Xenopus tropicalis: one gene and its partners. The protein of the gene in region 1 interacts with the protein of each later gene in a pairwise test. Links are inferred from orthologs where the notes say so. Each region holds a gene or a part of one and is shown in the gene's direction. Other genes may lie near its edges. The genes, in order: spdl1, dnaaf4 and ca8.

The links.
Region 2: the proteins of spdl1 (region 1) and dnaaf4 interact in binary tests that used the Homo sapiens proteins (3 or more experiments, as listed by UniProt). The two-hybrid records come from large-scale screens. The link is inferred for Xenopus tropicalis from reciprocal best matches to the Homo sapiens genes SPDL1 and DNAAF4.
Region 3: the proteins of spdl1 (region 1) and ca8 interact in binary tests that used the Homo sapiens proteins (3 or more experiments, as listed by UniProt). The two-hybrid records come from large-scale screens. The link is inferred for Xenopus tropicalis from reciprocal best matches to the Homo sapiens genes SPDL1 and CA8.

The regions. Positions count from the first base shown.
Region 1 is NC_030679.2:32,862,597-32,866,255, reverse strand, and holds part of spdl1 (protein Spindly), read left to right. Parts: intron 1-547; coding exon 548-735; intron 736-1,180; coding exon 1,181-1,538; intron 1,539-3,659. UniProt on the Homo sapiens protein: Required for the localization of dynein and dynactin to the mitotic kintochore.
Region 2 is NC_030679.2:100,682,147-100,685,805, forward strand, and holds part of dnaaf4 (dyslexia susceptibility 1 candidate gene 1 protein), read left to right. Parts: intron 1-798; coding exon 799-994; intron 995-3,659.
Region 3 is NC_030682.2:116,874,611-116,878,269, reverse strand, and holds part of ca8 (carbonic anhydrase-related protein), read left to right. Parts: intron 1-852; coding exon 853-915; intron 916-2,212; coding exon 2,213-2,261; intron 2,262-3,011; coding exon 3,012-3,124; intron 3,125-3,659. UniProt on the Homo sapiens protein: Does not have a carbonic anhydrase catalytic activity.

The DNA.
Region 1 (3,659 bases):
ATTAATTCTTTATTTTATGTGGTTTTTGAGTTATTAGCAGTACTGGGCCTTTTTATACTGCTAGGCAGGCATGGTTCAACAGATGTTTATTAAGGATTAAATTAACCTTAAGGTTTCTGGCTCTCAGTTGAGCTAAAAGCTGTCTAAAATTAATGTAAATTGTAAGTTCTCAGAGAAGCACCCTTGCATTAGGCATGCACCAAATCCAGAATTCAGTTTTCGGCAGGATTTGGATTCCGAATCCACACTTTTTGTCATGTTAACGCGGAAGTGGAAACATTTTCGACATTTAACCCTTCCAAAACCTAATTAGCATATGCTAATTAGGATTTGGTTCGGTATTTGGCACAATCCCTTATGGGTGGATTCAGGGGCTCACCGAACCCAAAAAACTGGATTTGGTGCATCCCTAGTTTGCATCAATTCATTTTTTGTGTTTAGATCCTCTGTAACCATTTCCCAGAAGATTTTGGTGAAATTAAATTACAGTAATACTATCTGATTTCATTATTAAAAACATCTAATTTAGAATTTCTGTTATTTGCAGTAAGGAAATTGAGAAGATAAAAGATGAACTATCTTTGCAACGGATGAAAGCTCTAGCCGAGAGCCAACGGGTCTTGGAACTGGAACGGAAGCTTTTTGCAAATGATAGGCATCTCAAACTCTCACAAGGCGAAAATATGAAACTCCGTGTCAATTTGGATGAGATGAAGATGAAATATGAACCTGATGGTATAAATTATGAATCAGCTTGCATGTTATCTAGTACTAACAAATGAGTTATACGTACTTTTGCCAAATTTATTCATGCTCCCACCCACTATACTAATGATGCACATTACAACCATCTGAGCTTTAGGCAGCCATGCATAAAATGCCTGAAAATGGCAATATATATGTAGGGCTACTCCTGTTGCTATATGTTTAATTGATTCTTCCTTTCATTTAAAAGAAGCTATTCACACTTCAGTATTTTTAATACACTAATACTTGATTATGGAATTAAGCAGCCCTGTGAACCTTGTAATGCTCCAGTTGCAGGTTGTTTCTGGCCCAACCATCTTAAACTTGGTTGTAGAGACAGCAAAAATTTAGGGCAAGCTCTTTTTACAGAACAAACTGTGTAGATAAAGGCTCAGTTGGCCTCGGTGATGCTAGTGCTTTTTGTTTTTTTCAGAAATTGCCAAAATCCGGACTCAAAAACGAAGAAAAGAACAGCTTCCACTTGATTGCGCAATAGATAACACCAGTGCTACTGTGACTTCAGGCAGTCAAGCTCATGGTCTGTCTGATGCAATTCCAGAAGATATGTGCCCAGCTGAATCAACGGTTCATAGAAACCTTTTGAAAGAAGATTCATCTTTGTCTACTAAAGAGCAAGATCTGTCTTCCGTTGCAGTAAAACCAATAGAACCGGCAAATGGTCAACCTCCAAAAGAACGCAAACGAGTGAGGATTGTGGAAAATGAAAATGATAATCAAGATATAAACAAAAGAAACACAAATAACTGCTCCGTTACTTCTACCTCCCCCAGGTCAGTGTCACCTCCTATAATTGCACAAGCCATTCAAGGAAGATCTTCATCTTTTTTCTTCCGCTTTGTGAGTTGCGCTATCCGCTTCTTCCTGTTTATCTTAAGCTTTGCATGGTGTCTCTTTCCTCCATTCCGGTTACCTCGACTGAACTTTTTTAGCTCTTTTAAAAAGCCTTGAACACTACAGTTTTAAAGAACATTAAAAGCTCTTGTCTTTTTAATGTCATAACAGTTTATTATGTATGCCATTCAAAATAATTTTTCACACTACTGCTGGAATACTGTGTTAATGCAGAGCAATAATAATTAGCATAACTCACAGTACTATTTTGTTCTGGCTACACTTTGAGCGTTTTAACTTTTTGTTTTTTGTTTGTCCATTGACGTCAGAAATTGTGTGTCTGCTGTTACACATTGTATATGTAGATTAACCCACAGGAAAGTCTTGTATTTTGTATAATGTATGTCTTACGAAAACCTCTTTGTTTAGCAGTATTATTTGCATTCCAATGTAGTTGGTATTCCTGGTTGGGGCAACTTGCTTTACTCACACTTGAATTTAAATTCTTGAAGAATTATATGTAGTGAATATAACCATAAATAGGTTGGTTCACCTTAACAGTAACTATTATTATGACTTAGGAAGCAGTATCTTAACATTTTTTGCAGTTATGCTTAATTGTTTTATATTTTTGTGATGGAATTTAAATTGCTATTTAGTTGCCAGGACTATAGGCATCAGGACACAAGCTCTGCTGTAATCGGTTCAAAATGAGCCAGTTTGCAAGTCCCCATTTCTGAGCTCTAGCAGATTTGCACTATTTACATGGGTAGTTTTCCTTTTGGACAAATGTTCAAGAGCTTCGCCTTTTAAACATTGTTTTCTTGTGAAACCTTGGGGGTTGGTTTCAACACTGCTTTTAGCTTTTAAGATTAAGTTTACAAAATTAGCATTTGTTTTCAGTCGCTTACTCTTGTGCCCATTAGCTCAGAGAGAGGCTTGTCGACTTTTACATATGAGACAATTTAAGCGGTTAGGACCATGGACGCATCTTAGAAGTAAGGGATAGTTGTCCTTTATAGCGGCTCGCTACTGCACACAAACCACACAGTCTTTATGCGCTTCTCTGCCCACAGCTATGTGTTGATGCGTCTTCTGATAAGTGTTTAGCAATGTCCTTCTGACAAGCACATACTCCTCTGGGCTCTATCCAAGCATACTGCAGTGCAGGGCAGCCACTTTTGAAAGGAATAGGCTCGGTGCTTATTAGAAACACTAGAGACTGGTATGGACAAACAGAAAAAGCTGTTGCACTTAGAAATTGCTTCAGAACTAAAATTTGACTTTCATGGGGCCAGAGAAATTGCTATAGGGGAAACAGGTGGGAGTCCTGTAATGGGCCCAGACTACATTAAAGGAGAAGGTATGGTACAATAACAGGGAGGGTGGCAAAATGTTAGGAACACCGCAATCATTGTAATCGCTTACCTGATTCCATGGACCAATGCTGCTGTTGGCAGAACACTGCACCAGCCCAGGGTACATGCAAGTGTGCAATTGCCTTTTCCTTCTTATTTCTTAGCGCTGCTTGTGCATGTGTAGTAAAGTGAAAAGGCGAACGTTAACAAAAAAGCCAGCTTTTTCACTATACTGCTCGTGCATCGACCCCGGGATAGTACCCAGGCCGGTGCAGTTTTTTGCTAAAAGGAGCACCTGCCTGGGGTATCAGGTAAGTGATTACAATCGTTGGGGTGTTCCTAACATTTTGGCATTTTGCCAGATCAGTAATATGGCCTGGCCCGGGTGTATGGGGCCTCACTATTCCTCACAGCAATCTTGACCTGTTTTAATAGAATTCCTAGAGCAAATAACAGAAATAACATTCCACATGTAGACTTTCAACCTGTCCAGTTTTGACTCAAAACTGCATGCCCAGTTCCAAATAAAGAACAGGACTCCCCTTGAATGATTCGGCAGTGGATGATCTTCACATCATAGTCTCGTCCCCATGATGTCATAATTCCACCCTGGCATCACTGGCCCCGCCCATGATATCATTGCCTTCCCCCTGCTCGGAGTGCAAGCTGCTGAAAGGTGGCAACCCTATCCATAGGTGACTT
Region 2 (3,659 bases), about 68 Mb from region 1:
AAGTAAATGTCTTTCTCTAAAAAGCCTATTTGCACATAATTAAAGAAGACAGTTAGGTGGCTTCAGGGGGCACCTATTTAGGTGTGTATTCTTTGTTTTGTTCTCTTTTAATTGCTTAGCAAAACAAGTTGGGGCCATTTTCACCCATATAAGGTAAATCTTAGGGACCTGTGACAGAAGGGCTTGTTCACTTCACTGAAGTGCAGTTTCGTAAGTAATTCACCATGCTTTTATACCCACAGTGCAGATTTTTTTCTATCATAATTCCAGCATTATAGCATCCGACACAGTGTTAAAATGTGCGCAATTCTGCTTGTGTTTTAATGCAAAATTGACACAGTTTCACTGGAAATTCTGGTTTTCTGTGAGTTTTCACACAGGAAGCAGTGGGTTCCACTGAGTCAATTTGTGCACTCCATGCATACAGATTGTTGGGGTGCATTGGTACCTGGTGGCAAAATGCACAAGGACAAGGAACACTATTGGATGCAATGAGCAATTTGAGAAATGGCTTTGTCAATTTTATGGCAACTGTGGTTGGGATTAGTAACTGAGCCCTATAGTTTTGATATTTTACTTTGCCTTTTTGGTCTTTTGAGTAGTAAGGATGGTATTTAATTAGTCTGCTTATTTTATTATTCTGTTCAGATTACTGTCATTCTAAAAATATAATATATATTTATAAATATATATTTATCATACTGTGCTAGTGGATTATGATGTTGGCACTTTATAAATAGATGTTTATTATAATATTGCTACCTACAATTGTATTAAAAAAATATAAATTTAATTTAGATTGAGGATGCAGAGAGAAAACGCATAGAGGATGTCAAACATGAGGAAAGGAAGAAAGCAACAGAGGAATTGGAGAAGTGGAAAGAAAAGGAGAGAATTCAGGAATTAAATGAAAAGATCCAGAAAAAGCAAATGAGAAGAGAGAATGAAAGCAATAAAGCAGTACACACAAGGTCTTCAGAACACTGCTCCACTGGTAATGTATGAACTATAATTATCCCAAACATTGCAAATGTGTTAGATGCAGGTTGGAATATTTGGAACATGCACCTAAAGTACTGAGGACGTAATTAAAAAAGGTGCATTTGTTGCTTTGTGTTTTCATTATTAGTAGAAAATATAGATACTGTACAGTAACAGTTATTGTGATATTTATAGAATTTATATGTTTATAGATACATTTTTATTACTCTTCTTACTAACTCTACTAACATATGTCAACCCATGATGGTTTTACATTTGTTTCCTTATGGAATTGAAAACCATAAAGGTTGAATATCACTGCAAAGCACATACAGTGGCTTGCAAAAGTATTCGGCCCCCTTGAACTTTTCCACATTTTGTCACATTACAGCCACAAACATGAATCAATTTTATTGGAATTCCACGTGAAAGACCAATACAAAGTGGTGTACACGTGAGAAGTGGAACAAAAATCATACATGATTCCAAACATTTTTTACAAATAAATAACTGCAAAGTGGGGCGTGCGTAATTATTCAGCCCCCTGAGTCAATACTTTGTAGAACCACCTTTTGCTGCAATTACAGCTGCCAGGCTTTTAGGGTATGTCTCTACCAGCTTTGCACATCTAGAGACTGAAATCCTTGCCTATTCTTCTTTGCAAAACAGCTCCAGCTCAGTCAGATTAGATGGACAGCGTTTGTGAACAGCAGATTTCAGATCTTGCCACAGATTCTCGATTGGATTTAGATCTGGACTTTGACTGGGCCATTCTAACACATGGATATGTTTTGTTTTAAACCATTCCATTGTTGCCCTGGCTTTATGTTTAGGGTCGTTGTCCTGCTGGAAGGTGAACCTCCGCCCCAGTCTCAAGTCTTTTGCAGACTCCAAGAGGTTTTCTTCCAAGATTGCCCTGTATTTGGCTCCATCCATCTTCCCATCAACTCTGACCAGCTTCCCTGTCCCTGCTGAAGAGAAGCACCCCCAGAGCATGATGCTGCCACCACCATATTTGACAGTGGGGATGGTGTGTTCAAAGTGATGTGCAGTGTTAGTTTTCCGCCACAAATAGCGTTTTGCATTTTGGTCTCATCTGACCAGAGCACCTTCTTCCACATGTTGTGTCCCCCACATGGCTTGTGGTAAACTTCAAACAGGACTTCTTATGGTTTTCTGTTAACAATGGCTTTCTTCTTGCCACTCTTCCATAAAGGCCAACTTTGTGCAGTGCACGACTAATAGTTGTCCTATGGACAGATTCCCCCACCTGAGCTGTAGATCTCTGCAGCTCGTCCAGAGTCACCATGGGCCTCTTGGCTGCATTTCTGATCAGCGCTCTCCTTGTTCAGCCTGTGAGTTTAGGTGGACGGCCTTGTCTTGGTAGGTTTACAGTTGTGCCATACTCCTTCCATTTCTGAATGATCGCTTGAACAGTGCTCCGTGGGATGTTCAAGGCTTTGGAAATCTTTTTGTAGCCTAAGCCTGCTTTAAATTTCTCAATAACTTTATCCCTGACCTGTTTGGTGTGTTCTTTGGACTTCATGGTGTTGTTGCTCCCAATATTCTCTTAGACAACCTCTGAGGCCGTCACAGAGCAGCTGTATTTGTACTGACATTAGATTACACACAGGTGCACTCTATTTAGTCATTAGCACTCATCAGGCAATGTCTATGGGCAACTGACTGCACTCAGACCAAAGGGGGCTGAATAATTATGCACACCCCACTTTGCAGTTATTTATTTGTTAAAAATGTTTGGAATCATGTATGATTTTCGTTCCACTTCTCACGTGTACACCACTTTGTATTGGTCTTTCACGTGGAATTCCAATAAAATTGATTCATGTTTGTGGCTGTAATGTGACAAAATGTGGAAAAGTTCAAGGGGGCCGAATACTTTTGCAAGCCACTGTAGTTTTGTTCTATGTTTTTAGGTGAGAAATTGTTGTCCCAGTCTATGGTGCACGTAATGTGGTAAAATTCACTTTAAACGTCATTAGTGTATATTTATTTTTTGTAACATACATTAATTGAGGCTGTACTGTAGTCACTATTACCTAGGTGTTCTATTACTTGCACCTTTATAATGTGTTTCGGGTTGTTAGAGATCCCAGGATCCAGTATAGTATCTTAACAGTCTGTGGCATGCAAGTGTCAAGTAGTAAATTTGTAGTAAATTTGTTGTAAAATTTTCCCATGTTTGGCTGCATTTTGCCCAGTGCCTAGGCTCCCTGGTTGTGATCAGCAACTAGAAGCATGCTCACTGGAAGCCACGGGCAGGGTGACCTAAGCAGGGAGAGTCTTTAAACCTCTAGCCATCTTGCCTCTGAAACATATGCACCATGATAGAGTCGCAGCATATAGTTGAAATGAAGGGCGTAACAATAACATTTGTAAACAGAATAATAAACAAGGCACTGAATAAACATAACTCCCTGATATCTTGAGTGTAATATATGTTTTAAGTTATTTTTTTTATTTTCTCTGATGATGTTGTAGTAGTATTCAGACCAACACCCATAAGAATATGTGACATTGCTTAATTTATGTTTGCCTTATTTAAAATTTCTGCACATAATTAATCTCAAAGGAATTATAAATATTGTGGCACATTTATGTTTTTCCATGGCACCTTTCAGTCCTTTAAGACAGGAAATATTGCATTGTACTGCTAT
Region 3 (3,659 bases), on another chromosome or scaffold:
TAAAACGGTAAGCGCAAAGTGGGAGGGCTTCAGGCGCCAGCACCCCTAGGATCGCCACTGTGCATAAGGCACATCCATACGAGCAAGGTCCTTCAGTGAAATTATAGTTGAGGCTAGACCTGAATTAAAAACTAGTATTATTCAGTAACTCAGGCTAAAATATTTGAACTTACAATAGGCAAAATAGTAGTTTATTTGAGTATACATAAGCATTTTTTAATAAAGTATTGTTTGTCTTTACATACGTGGATTGTGTGTGAATCATTTTTACCATATACAGATATAGGACCCATTATCCAGAATGATCGGGACCAAGGGTATTCCGGATAAGGGGTCTTTCTGTAATTTGGATCTCCATACCTTAAGTCTACTAAAATATCAATAAAACATTAATTAACCCCAATAGGATTGTTTTGCATCCAATAAGGATTATTTATATCTTAGTGGGATCAATTACAAGGTACTGTTTTATTACTACAGAGAAAAAGAAAATCAGTTTTAAAATTCTAAATTATTTGATTAAAATGGAGTCTATGGGAGACGGGCTTTCTGTAATTCGGAGCTTTCTGGATAACGGGTTTCCGGATAAGGGGTCCGATACCTGTACTATCATTTTTACCATATACTATCCTATATTTTACAAATTGTATTTTAATATAAATAAACCCCCAATTTAGCATATCTGTGTATTTATTTGTGCTTATTTGTTACCTGAACGGTCCCAAAGCTCTTACTGATAGGAGCTTCCCATCAGCAGAACAGTTGACTTAATCTTGTAAGTGCAGAGTCCTAAGTTTCAAGAGCCAGTGCCTTTAATTCATTAAATACAGTGTTTTTTTGTTACTGTTTCAGATAGGAAAAGAAAATATTGGCCTTAAAGCTATCACAGAGGTTCTTCAGGATATATTTTATAAAGTAAGTTCTTTTTTTTTCAAAAGGAATAATAATCCTGCAAGTGTCCCATGAAGCAGAATCATAGGAAGGAGCTAACATGGGATGCTCAGCTGAACTTGTGCAATTTATTTATAAAATAACATCAAAGTGACCTATGGTTAATATGTTATATGTGTGTTGTACATAGAATGGTATAAAGCAGGGGTCCCCAAACTTTCTTACTCGTGAGCCACAGTCAAATGTAAAAAGACTTGGAGAGCAACACAAGCATCATAAAAGTTCATGGAGGTGCCAAATAAGGGCTACGATTGGCTATTAGGGAGCCTCTATGCACACTATCAGCTTACAGGGGGCTTTATTTGGTAGTAAACCTTGTTATTCAACCAAAACTTGCCCCAAGTCAGGAATTCAAAAATAACTACCTGGTTTGGGGGCACTGAGAGCAACATCCAAGGGGTTGGTGAGTAACATGTTGCCCCTGAGCCACTGGTTGGGGATCACTGGTATAAAGTGTAAATGCTTGTGTGATATTTTCGGTTGGTTGATGCCATGTATACTTTTATTTCTTTAATTTCTTTAAGGGCATGTCATACTCATTGTAGATACCATTGGCCGATACACAATATCTCTCTGGTTGTATTAATTACCAGTCGATATTTGTAATTTCTTCTACATTTTTTTAATTCGTCCTTTTTTAAAGACTTATTTAATAAATCACTTGACATCCGTTGTCTTAGAGAAAATGATTTTATTCACTAAAAGGAGAATGTTGATAAATGGGCTTCCCCATATAATCCTTCTGTTCGATGGCTGCTTGGCAAATGAATGCCAGTGGAACACACTGATACATATGCTATGATTTTGTTTAGGGCCAAAAGTCATTTGTGCCATATTCTATATAGTGTCTACCATCTGCTGCTAAGGCCTGTAATCATTTCTAAAGTATTCAGCATTTGTTAGTGATAACTGAAAGTGTAATGAAACCATAATCAGAGGCTCTGCATTTTGTTAGGGAATATATTTCATTCAGTTGAGAGGGAAGATAAAAAAAATATTGGAAGCAGAGGGGAAACTAGTTGTTCTTGAGACACACAGGCTTGTTATTTAATAATTAATAGCACAATGTCCTTGTAACTACTAAATGCATTTACAGGGCGCACTGGAAAGAAAACAAGTGATAAATTTAACAAGGCACTATTGCCCTTCAGTACAAGGCCTGTTCAGTACATTCCGCATGTCTTCTACTTTTATTTTCAGCTTTTTCAAGTACATATACGCTGCATCTCATTTAGAAGGTAATGCATTTGGTCTTTTTTAGGGGAAATCTAAGACGATACCATGCTTTAATCCCAACACCTTATTACCAGGTATGGAAAGAAGTTTAATGCAAATATAAACAAAATAAAATTGAACTTAATGGAAAACTCTACCTCAATGTAGGTCTCTATAAAATATATTGCATAAAGCAGCTCATATGTAAAACCTTGCTATCTAAATAAAACATTTTTATGAAGTAGTAGTATGTGCCATTGGGTACGCCTAAATAGAAAATTGCCATTTTAAGTACTAAGGTCCAACCCCTGGGATCATAGGATTCACAGTGCACACAAACAAACCAAGGCACACATACATGCTAGGCTCCATCAGCCAATTAATGGACAAGGTTCTGTCTTTTGCTCCCCCACTTCCTCCTGTTACAGTTAGAGCTGCATTATTTTTGGTCAGCTGATCTCTGAGGGAGCACACAGCCCATCACTAAATGGTGGTTCAAGAGAAAAGATGTAAAAGACCAATATTTACTGATATATATCCCAGATTGGTAAAATAGGCCACTTAATATGATCTAAACAATCTGTTGGTTAAGTATTTTTTTAGTATCTAACAGTATCTCAATATTAACCACAATTCTGCTCGTAGGCTGAATGTTGAACAAGTGAAATGGGTGCTTCCATATTCCCTGATTGGACACCTTCGCTCATTGGCTGCCGACTGATGACTCTTAGGAAAACATATATAGATACTTTTATTCAGTTTCATAATTAAAATGACCATTTCATGTAACTTTAATGTTTACTTATAGTATCTTAATGAGTTGTAAAAAAACTGACCTTTTTCAGACCCCCTGCTGCGTGATTATTGGGTATATGAGGGATCTCTTACAATGCCACCATGTAGTGAAGGAGTTACCTGGATATTATTTCGATACCCTTTAACAGTTTCTCAAACACAGGTAAGTAACCATTATTATTTTTAAGAGTTTTTTCCATTTGTAAACATATTTTGAATGTTTTATATACAGGTATGGGTCCTGTTATGCAGAATGTACAGGACCTGGGATAAGAGCTTTGTCAGAATTTGGATCGCAATACTTTACATCTACTAAAAAATCATTTAAACATCAAATAAACCCAATAGGATTGTTTTGCCTCCAATAAGGATTAATTATATCTTAGTTGGGATCAAGTACAAGGTACTGTTTTATTATTACAGAGAAAAGGAAATTATTGTAAAAAATTTGAATTATTAGATTTGAATGGAGAAATATCCTTCATGTAATTTGGGGCTTCCTGGATAAACTCCAGATAACTGATCCCATATCGTACTTCTAAGTAAAGGCATTCTCAAACATATTGATTTGATCAGGACTGATGTACCCCATCTGCGACACAGATTTGCACCTGGTACAGGTATGGGATCCATTATCCGGAAACCTATTATTCAGAAAGCTCTGAATTACAGGAAAGCCATCTCCAATAGATTTTTAA